Linked DNA regions of Canis lupus familiaris. The protein of the gene in region 1 purifies or fractionates together with the protein of each later gene. This does not show direct contact. Links are inferred from orthologs where the notes say so. Each region holds a gene or a part of one and is shown in the gene's direction. Other genes may lie near its edges. The genes, in order: CSTF3 and CSTF2T.

Region 1 (4,369 bases):
TGGAAGGGTAAGAATTCAGGCTGTGGAAAGGGTGGTGTGGAAATAGGAGCAGAGGCACGGAGAGACGAGAAGAATAAGGCGTGCGTGGTGAAAGCCGAAGTTTACTTTTGGATACGTGGGCCTCCATCAGCGAGGAGGAGGAGAGGGGACAGCGTAGGATGATCTTTTTTTTTTTTTTTTTTAAGATTTTATTTATTTATAGACAGAGAGAGAGAGAGAGAGAGAGAGGCAGAGACACAGGCAGAGGGAGAAGCAGGCCCCATGCAGGGAGCCCGATGCAGGACTCGACCCCAGGTCTCCAGGATCACGCCCTGGGCCAAAGGCAGGCGCCAAACCTCTGCGCCACCCAGGGATCCCCCCAGGATGATCTTTAATTGGAAATTAGTTTGAGAAGAGACCTGTTCTCCCCTAATCTTGGGCTATGGCCAGAGCAGCTCTGAGCACTTTCACGTGTCCACCTTATTTAAATTGCAGATACTACTGTTGTTACTCGTATCTATAGGCAAGGAAACTGAGGCACAAGTTGCCCAAGGTTACCAATCCAATGAGAGAGGAAGCCAGGGTTTGAAGGAATGGGAGTCTGGCTGCGGGGCCTGAGCGCTATTATCTCCACTTTGCATACGAGGAATCACCGTAAGATGCTGAGCTTAATTCCCGGGGCCTTACTGACGTCAAAACTTTAGACAATTGCACATATGTTTGGATATTTGCATGTGTGCAAATATACACATCGAGTAGTGAAGTTTCTTATAATAAACAGTGCTTTAAACTTTGAAATAAAGATGAATGAATCCATAAAAAAAAACAACAACAAACTTTAGACAAAATAGGAGATAGTGACCGTGTAAGATGGATGAGAGCATCCCTAACAAGCACAGAAAGCATTAGTTCAGATGGTAGGAAAACCTCGATATGTCTCTTACGTTCAAAATATAGAAGGCAAAAAACAAAAACAAAAACAACAAAACAAAACAAAACAAAACAAAATATAGAAGGCTTCTAAACTTAGCATCGCTCCCTAAGATGGCCAGTTGGCCCTGAACTACACTGATTGGCAGTCAGGCTTCAACAGTGAAAAAACCCAGGTTCCACAGCGTGGTAATTAAGTTCCAAAAGGCGCGCGAGCCTGCAGGGTAAACAGTTTCCCGCCTCCCAGCCGGTTGCAGCCAGCTCAGCAACAGCGCCGGGAGCCCGGCGTCGTGACGTCAGCGCAGACCCTACGCCCACCTCGGCGTTCCTCCCCGCATCCGCGCGGCCGAGCAAACCGGCGCGTCGGGACCTTAGCTCCGCCCATCGCCCCGGAAGTTAATGCCGAAGCCACACCCCTCTCCTCGTCCGGCAGGGGCGCAGCCATTTTAATTCATATCTGAGTGGGCGGTGGCGATTCGCGTTGGCTGTCTGGCTCCGCCGGGCCGGGGGTAACTTTACTGGTTTGGGGTGGTTTTTAGTTTAATTTTTCTTTTCTAGCTTCGCATCGCGGGCCAGCTCTCCCTTTCTAGTCAGCTGAGGCCATGTCAGGAGACGGAGCCCCGGAGCAGGTGAGGAAAGAGAGTGGTGGGGCCTCGTGGCGACCTCTTCTCTCCACGTCTGTGTCGGTCCGGGTGCTCCAGCCATGTTCGCCTGAGGAGGGAATTGGGGTCTGAGGAACCCGGAGGACGGGGTTCAGCGGAAATGGTGGGAACCGGGGAGCGAGAGCTGACGGAGACGTGAAATTCTTGTTTTGGCTTCTCTGAGGCGTTAACGCGAACACTTGCTTTAGACAATAGGAAGCTGCTTCGTCCTGTTTAGGTTTATGGGACTACTCCTGGGGGATTCCTTCCTTTAATAACCATTTTTGTTTTGGCATTAGGGTGGTTGAGGATCGATTACTTTGAACGTGTGGCCTCTGTTTTCGAAAAAAACTTGACGGTGTTTCCTCTGCCCCCGCCCCCCCCCCTTCCGATATGCCCCCAGAGAGGTGACCAGTTTTGCGAAATAACGTGAGGTGAAACTCGTCTGGAGAAATGGTCTCTTCGCCAGAGCGAATGAAGCCGGAAGCAGTGTAGGAAAAAAAAAAAAAAGCGTGGTTAATGCTGAGATTTGGGGATTGTGTAGCTTTCTCCTGATACCTTCTTTTTTTTTTTTTCCCTCTCCCCCTGTCCGCATTTTCATTTTCGTTTTTCAAGCGATCCAAATGTTGCAGCATTTGATAAATCGGAAAACGAGAGGTCCTTTTTTTTTTTTTTTTTTTTGCCCCTTCAAATAAAAACGTCTCCTTTAGTACTGGACGTAAATGATCTACAAGCATTTTTAAAATTCAGGTACTTAGCGAAACGATTGAGGGTGTTTGGCTCTTTATTCAGAATTTTGTAGAGTAGTATTTTTGCCTCTTAGTTTGAAGGAGGAAACTGCTACTTCATGAAAGATGTCAGTCAGTTTGCTTTTCGATTTAAGTCCTGGAATGTTTAGGTAAATAGTTTTTTAAAATGGAGGCCCGCTAGCCTGCAGAGTCTCAATTTCCTGAAATTCCCTGTTGCCACGGTAACGAACTACACTTAGGTTTTTGTTTTTTAAGTCCCCAGCTTAGAAGGTAGAGGCTGTTCTTGGAGGTTGACAGAGGCCAAAGTTGCAGTTCCTCTTGAGTAGTCTGGGGACTGTAAATGTCACGTCGGGAGAGCTTGCTAAATTGAATTTTGTGTTTGCTCGTTGACTGAAACCTTGTTAACATTTTACATGGTTGTCTCGATGCCCAGGAAAGCAAAATCTCCAGTCTCAAAACCATAATATCACATCTGCTTATGTATACCTATGGTTATTCTGAGATGTATACCTAATTTTGTCACTTGAAACTTGAGGAGTAACGTCCTAAGGTTTCATTGAAAGTTTCCAGAACTTTTTGTTAGTTCCAAAATTTTTCTTAAATTATAAGGACACTGAAATGAAATGTCATGACTTTGAATATTTCCGAACTCTCTTGTTTTGAATGAAAGGGGATGGTGGTGAAAATTTACATGAAAAAAAGAAATTAAAAGTTTTACCGTGCAAAGGAAACTTAGTACGTGAGAAAAGTTAAAAGTGAGATGAATGCCTGCAATACAGTTCTTAACCTATAATCAATAACTGTTAACTGTTTTTCCAAACTTGTTTTATCTCTGCTTGCATATTTATTTGAAAGTAAGTCGAGACATATTTCAGGCCCTTATATTTCATCATTCTTTTACTTAAGGACATTGATGCAGTTATATAACCATACCATTTTCTCACCTAAAAAAATTAATAGTTTAACCTATCATTTCTAAAGCCTGGTTCCTGTTCACATTTCCCTAGTTGTCCCAAGAATATGATTCATAGGGTTTTTCTCTCTCTTTTTCTTTTCTCTTATCAGAATCTAATCTGGGTTTACATGCCCCATTAGTTTTGTCTCTTGAATAGTTCTCCTTCCCCCCCTTTTCCCAGGGACTTGTCTGCAGAATCCAAGACAATTTTCTAATAAAACTTATTTTCTGGGTTGATTTGATTTTTGTGTATGTGGTATCATTTAACTCGTCCCTTCATCTTTTGTTATTTCCTGAAAACTTTGTGGTTGGTTAGGTCTAAACTGAGAGCTTTGATAATATTTGAGTTAAATATTTTTGGGTAGAATGGTATAATGTTACATGGAAAGGCACTTCATGCTAGGTTGTTCCACTATTAATGGTGGTTAAGTTCGATTATTTGGGCAGGGAGATGATTGCTGGGTTTCTTCATTGTGAAGGATTATTTTCTCTGCAGTTAGTAATCTGTGGATTGACTTTGTATTCCTCAGTAGCTTTTTAAAACTAGTTATGTGTCAATTGAATCACTTATTACTTTGGAGGTGGCAAATGGTGATGTTAAAAATTCTATTCTGTCTTTACTGACTCGCTCATGTTTTTCTGTAAAGAATTTTTTTCCTTTCTCCTTTTTTTTCCAATATTCTTTTTGTAAAGATTTTATTTATTCATGAGAGACACGGAGCGAGAGAGGCAGAGACACAGGCAGAGGGAGGGAAAAGGCTCCCTGCAGGGAGCTTGATCCGGGGACTCCAGGATCACCCCCTGAGCTGACGGCAGCGCTAAACCGCTGAGCCACCCAGGGATCCCTCTTTTCTCCTTTTAAAAAATTATTTATTTTCAAACATTTTATTTATTTGAGAGAGCACAAGCAGGGAGGAGAGGGAGAAGCAGACTCTGCTAAGCAGGGAAGGTTGACATGAGGCTTGATCTAGGATTCTGAAATCATGACCTGAGTGAAAGGCAGACCATTAACTGACTGAGCCACCAGGCACCCCCTTAACCCCCCTATTTTTTTTAAGATTTTTTTTTAAATTTAGAGAGCCCATGCAAGTGGGCGGGGTGGGGGGAGCAAAGGG
Region 2 (4,407 bases), on another chromosome or scaffold:
GGGGAGCAGCGTCAGGTCGGGGAGCCCCGGGTCGGGGAGCAGCGTCAGGTCGGGGAGCACCGGGTCGGGGGAGCAGCGTCAGGTCGGGGAGCCCGGGGTCGGGGAGCAGCGTCAGGTCGGGGAGCCCGGGTCGGGGAGCAGCGTCAGCTCTGGGAGCCCCGGGTCTGGGAGCCCCGTCGGGTCGGGGAGCAGCGTCAGCTCGGGGAGCACCAAGTCGGGGAGCAGCATCAGCCCAGGGAACCCCGGGTCAGGGAGCAGCGTCAGGTCGGGGAGCAGCGTCAGGTTGGGGAGCCAGGGTCGGGGAGCAGCGTCAGCCCAGGGAACCCCGGGTCGGGGAGCAGCGTCAGGTCGGGGAGCCCCGGGTCGGGGAGCAGCGTCAGGTCGGGGAGCCCGGGGTCGGGGAGCAGCGTCAGCTCAGGGAGCACCGAGTGAGAAAGCATCACCAGCTAGGGGAGCACGGAGCTGGGGAGCACCGTCGGCCCAGGGAACCCCGGGTCAGGGAGCAGCATCAGGTCGGGGAGCCATCGAGTTGGGAGGCACCGTCAGGTCTGGGAGCCCCAGGTCTGGGAGCAACGTCAGGTCGGGGAGCCCGGGTCGGGGGAGCAGCGTCAGGTCGGGGAGCAGCGTCAGCCCAGGGAGCCCTGGTCGGGGGAGCAGCGTCAGGTCGGGGAGCCCCGGGTCGGGGAGCAGCGTCAGGTCGGGGAGCACCGGGTCGGGGGAGCAGCGTCAGGTCGGGGAGCCCGGGGTCGGGGAGCAGCGTCAGGTCGGGGAGCCCGGGTCGGGGAGCAGCGTCAGCTCTGGGAGCCCCGGGTCTGGGAGCCCCGTCGGGTCGGGGAGCAGCGTCAGCTCGGGGAGCACCAAGTCGGGGAGCAGCATCAGCCCAGGGAACCCCGGGTCAGGGAGCAGCGTCAGGTCGGGGAGCAGCGTCAGGTTGGGGAGCCAGGGTCGGGGAGCAGCGTCAGCCCAGGGAACCCCGGGTCGGGGAGCAGCGTCAGGTCGGGGAGCACCGGGTCGGGGAGCAGCGTCAGCTCTGGGAGCCCCGGGTCGGGGAGCCCCGTCGGGTCGGGGAGCCCCGTCCTGCAGAGCGAGCCGCCGCGCGTGCGGGAGCAAAGCCCGGCCCCGTGGGACGCCCACACTGGGTGCCCGCGACCTGGGCCGACCAGAGGCGGGCGCGGCCGGGGTCCGCCCCGCAGCAAACCGAGCGCACGCCCGGGGAGGGAGCGGGGAAGCCCCGGTCGGTGGGCGGTCTCCCGCGGGGCAAACGGCCTCCAGAGCGCCGTGACGTCGCGGCGACGTCCGCTCCCGGCGCCCACGGCGAAGCCGCTGCGGCCATCTTTACTGCGGTCAGCCCCCCCGGGGGCCGTTCCGGGCGGCCGCGGCGGCTCGCGGTGGGAAGCCTCCTCGCGAAAGGCGCGCGTCGGAGCGCACCGGCGGACGCACTCGCGGGGGCGGGCGGAACGATCGGGCCGCGCCTCGGCGGTTTCCGGGCGGACGCCGGCCGTCGGCTTCCGCTGCTCGGCGGAAGCGAGGCCGCCGAGGAGGAGGACGAGCGCCGGCCACCGCCGCGCCGCGCCGCGCCGGGCCGCCGGGAGCCATGTCGAGCCTGGCGGTGCGGGACCCGGCCATGGACCGGTCGCTGCGCTCCGTGTTCGTGGGGAACATCCCGTACGAGGCGACGGAGGAGCAGCTGAAGGACATCTTCTCGGAGGTGGGCTCGGTGGTGAGCTTCCGGCTGGTGTACGACCGCGAGACGGGCAAGCCCAAGGGCTACGGCTTCTGCGAGTACCAGGACCAGGAGACGGCGCTGAGCGCGATGCGCAACCTCAACGGGCGCGAGTTCAGCGGCCGCGCGCTGCGCGTGGACAACGCCGCGAGCGAGAAGAACAAGGAGGAGCTCAAGAGCCTGGGCCCCGCCGCGCCCGTCGTGGACTCGCCCTACGGCGACCCCATCGACCCCGAGGACGCGCCCGAGTCCATCACGCGCGCCGTGGCCAGCCTGCCGCCCGAGCAGATGTTCGAGCTCATGAAGCAGATGAAGCTGTGCGTGCAGAACAGCCACCAGGAAGCGCGCAGCATGCTGCTGCAGAACCCGCAGCTGGCCTACGCGCTGCTGCAGGCGCAGGTGGTCATGCGCATCATGGACCCCGACCTGGCGCTCAGGATCCTGCACCGCAAGGTCCACGTGACGCCGCTGCTGCCCGGCAAGGCGCAGCCCGGCCCCGGCCCCGGCCCCGGCCCCGGTCTCGGCCCCGGCCCCGGCCCCGGCCCCGGCCCCGCCGCCCCGGCCGTCCTGCTGGCCCAGCAGAGCCCCGCCGCCCCGCAGCCGCCGCACCTGGCGCGGAGGCCCGTGAAGGACATCCCCCCGCTGATGCAGACCCCGATCCAGGCCGGCATGCCGGCGCCGGGCCCCCTGCCCGCCGCGGGGCCGGGCCCCGGGCCCGCCGCGCTCCCCGCCGCGGGCGGCATGCAGCCGCAGGTGGGGATGCCCGGCGTGGGGCCCCTGGAGCGCGGCCAGGTGCAGATGGCCGACCCCAGGGCGCCCCTGCCGCGGGGGCCCATGGCCGCGGGGGGCCTCCCTCCTCGGGGGCTGCTGGGGGACGCCCCGAACGACCCCCGCGGGGGGACCCTGCTCTCGGTCACCGGGGAGGTGGAGCCCCGAGGCTACCTGGGCCCGCCCCTGCACCACGCGTCCGGCCACGCCAGAGACTCGCACGACCTGCGGGGCGGGCCCCTCGCCGACCCCAGACTGCTGATGGGAGAGCCCCGGGGGCCCATGATGGATCAGAGGGGGCTCCCCATGGATGGCAGAGGGAGCAGAGATTCTCGAGGGATGGAGACGGAAGTCCTAGAGACCAGAGTGCTGGAGAGAAGAGGGATGGAGACCTGTGCGATGGAAGCCAGAGGCATGGACGCGAGAGGGATGGAGATGCGGGGCCCCGGCCCCGGCCCCGGTTCCAGAGGCCCAATGACTGGGGGAATCCAGGGGCCCGGGCCCATTAACATGGGGGCGGGTGGTCCTCAGGGGCCCAGACAGGTGTCGGGCATTTCAGGGGTGGGAAATCCTGGAGCTGGCATGCAGGGGGCGGGCATGCAAGGAGGGGGCATGCAGGGGGCAGGCATGCAAGGAGGGGGCATGCAGGGAGCAGGCATGCAAGGAGGGGGCATGCAGGGGGCAGGCATGCAAGGAGGAGGCATGCAGGGGGCAGGCATGCAAGGAGGGGGCATACAGGGGGCAGGCATGCAAGGAGGAGGCATGCAGGGGGCAGGCATGCAAGCAGTGGGCATGCAGGGGGCAGGCAAGCAAGGTGGAGGCCAGCCTAGCAGTTTCAGTCCTGGGCAGAGCCAGGTAACTCCACAGGATCAGGAAAAGGCAGCTCTGATCATGCAGGTTCTTCAGCTGACTGCAGATCAGATTGCCATGCTGCCCCCCGAGCAGAGGCAGAGCATCCTGATCTTAAAGGAACAGATTCAGAAGTCTACTGGGGCTTCTTGAGCGGTGTCGGGAGATAACCGGCAGTGGTCTCCGAGTTTTCCTGTAGCATGGAGGGTGGATGCAGAAAGCCAACGTCTGCATCCCCACGCTCCAGTGATTAGGGTTTCCCTTCCTGATTTCATCTTGTCTTTTTATTTTCCTTTTGTTTTCCTTTTTAATGGGAGCGGGGGGGGGGGGGGCGCAGGGGGAGGCAGGATTGGGTCTGTTCACTTTTACTCACTGTATATACACAAGAATAACTCTGAACGTGGTTATACTACACGGAGTAAGATGACAAAGAACGCAGCAATACTGAGAGTGTCTACAATATGTTAAACTACATTTTTTGAATACCGAGTAAAACAATGTGAAAACTGCACATAAGGACTAAACTATTGACCTGTTAAAATGGTAACGTGCTAAAACAGTTTACGATTTTTGGTTGTGTAAGAAAATAAAGACGTTTACCTCAAAGTTATCAGATACATTTTTTTTTGGTAAGCCGTTTGAAATAGCAAATGCTATTTTGGGGACAGGAGATGGTTGTATTAGGTTAAGCATCGTTTTAGTGGAATTATTTAAAAATGTTGGTGCTAACAGGTTAAGTCTCAACTTGTGGTATTAGAACTGGATGGTGGGTTTTGTTTTTATTTTTGTTTTTTTTTTTTAGTTTGTTTTTTTGTTTTTTGTTTGTTTGTTTTTAAAGCTGTGCTACCTGAAAAATCCAGGAGTGCATGTGGTGTGACGTTGCGTGTATCCCGCCGTCCAGAGAGCAGCAGTATTCCGGCCTGGCCTTGAGCCTGACGGTTCTGCTGGGACGGCCCTAGGACGGGCCAGGGTCCCGAAGGCCGCTCTCTCAGTACCTTCCTGCGTCTCAGTAATCCTTAAGTCCTGATGTGAATCTAAGTAGCTGCCTCACATCCTTTGTAAACAGG

Evidence for each region.
Region 2: the proteins of CSTF3 (region 1) and CSTF2T purify together in Homo sapiens (co-immunoprecipitation; 4 studies listed by BioGRID and IntAct, counting the BioPlex papers as one, with this or other methods). This does not show direct contact. The link is inferred for Canis lupus familiaris from reciprocal best matches to the Homo sapiens genes CSTF3 and CSTF2T.

The regions. Positions count from the first base shown.
Region 1 is NC_049239.1:34,891,193-34,895,561, forward strand, and holds the start of CSTF3 (cleavage stimulation factor subunit 3), read left to right. Parts: upstream 1-1,315; 5' UTR 1,316-1,511; coding exon 1,512-1,538; intron 1,539-4,369. UniProt on the Homo sapiens protein: One of the multiple factors required for polyadenylation and 3'-end cleavage of mammalian pre-mRNAs.
Region 2 is NC_049247.1:36,527,008-36,531,414, forward strand, and holds CSTF2T (cleavage stimulation factor subunit 2 tau variant), read left to right. Parts: upstream 1-1,523; 5' UTR 1,524-1,594; coding exon 1,595-3,493; 3' UTR 3,494-3,950; downstream 3,951-4,407. UniProt on the Homo sapiens protein: May play a significant role in AAUAAA-independent mRNA polyadenylation in germ cells. Directly involved in the binding to pre-mRNAs.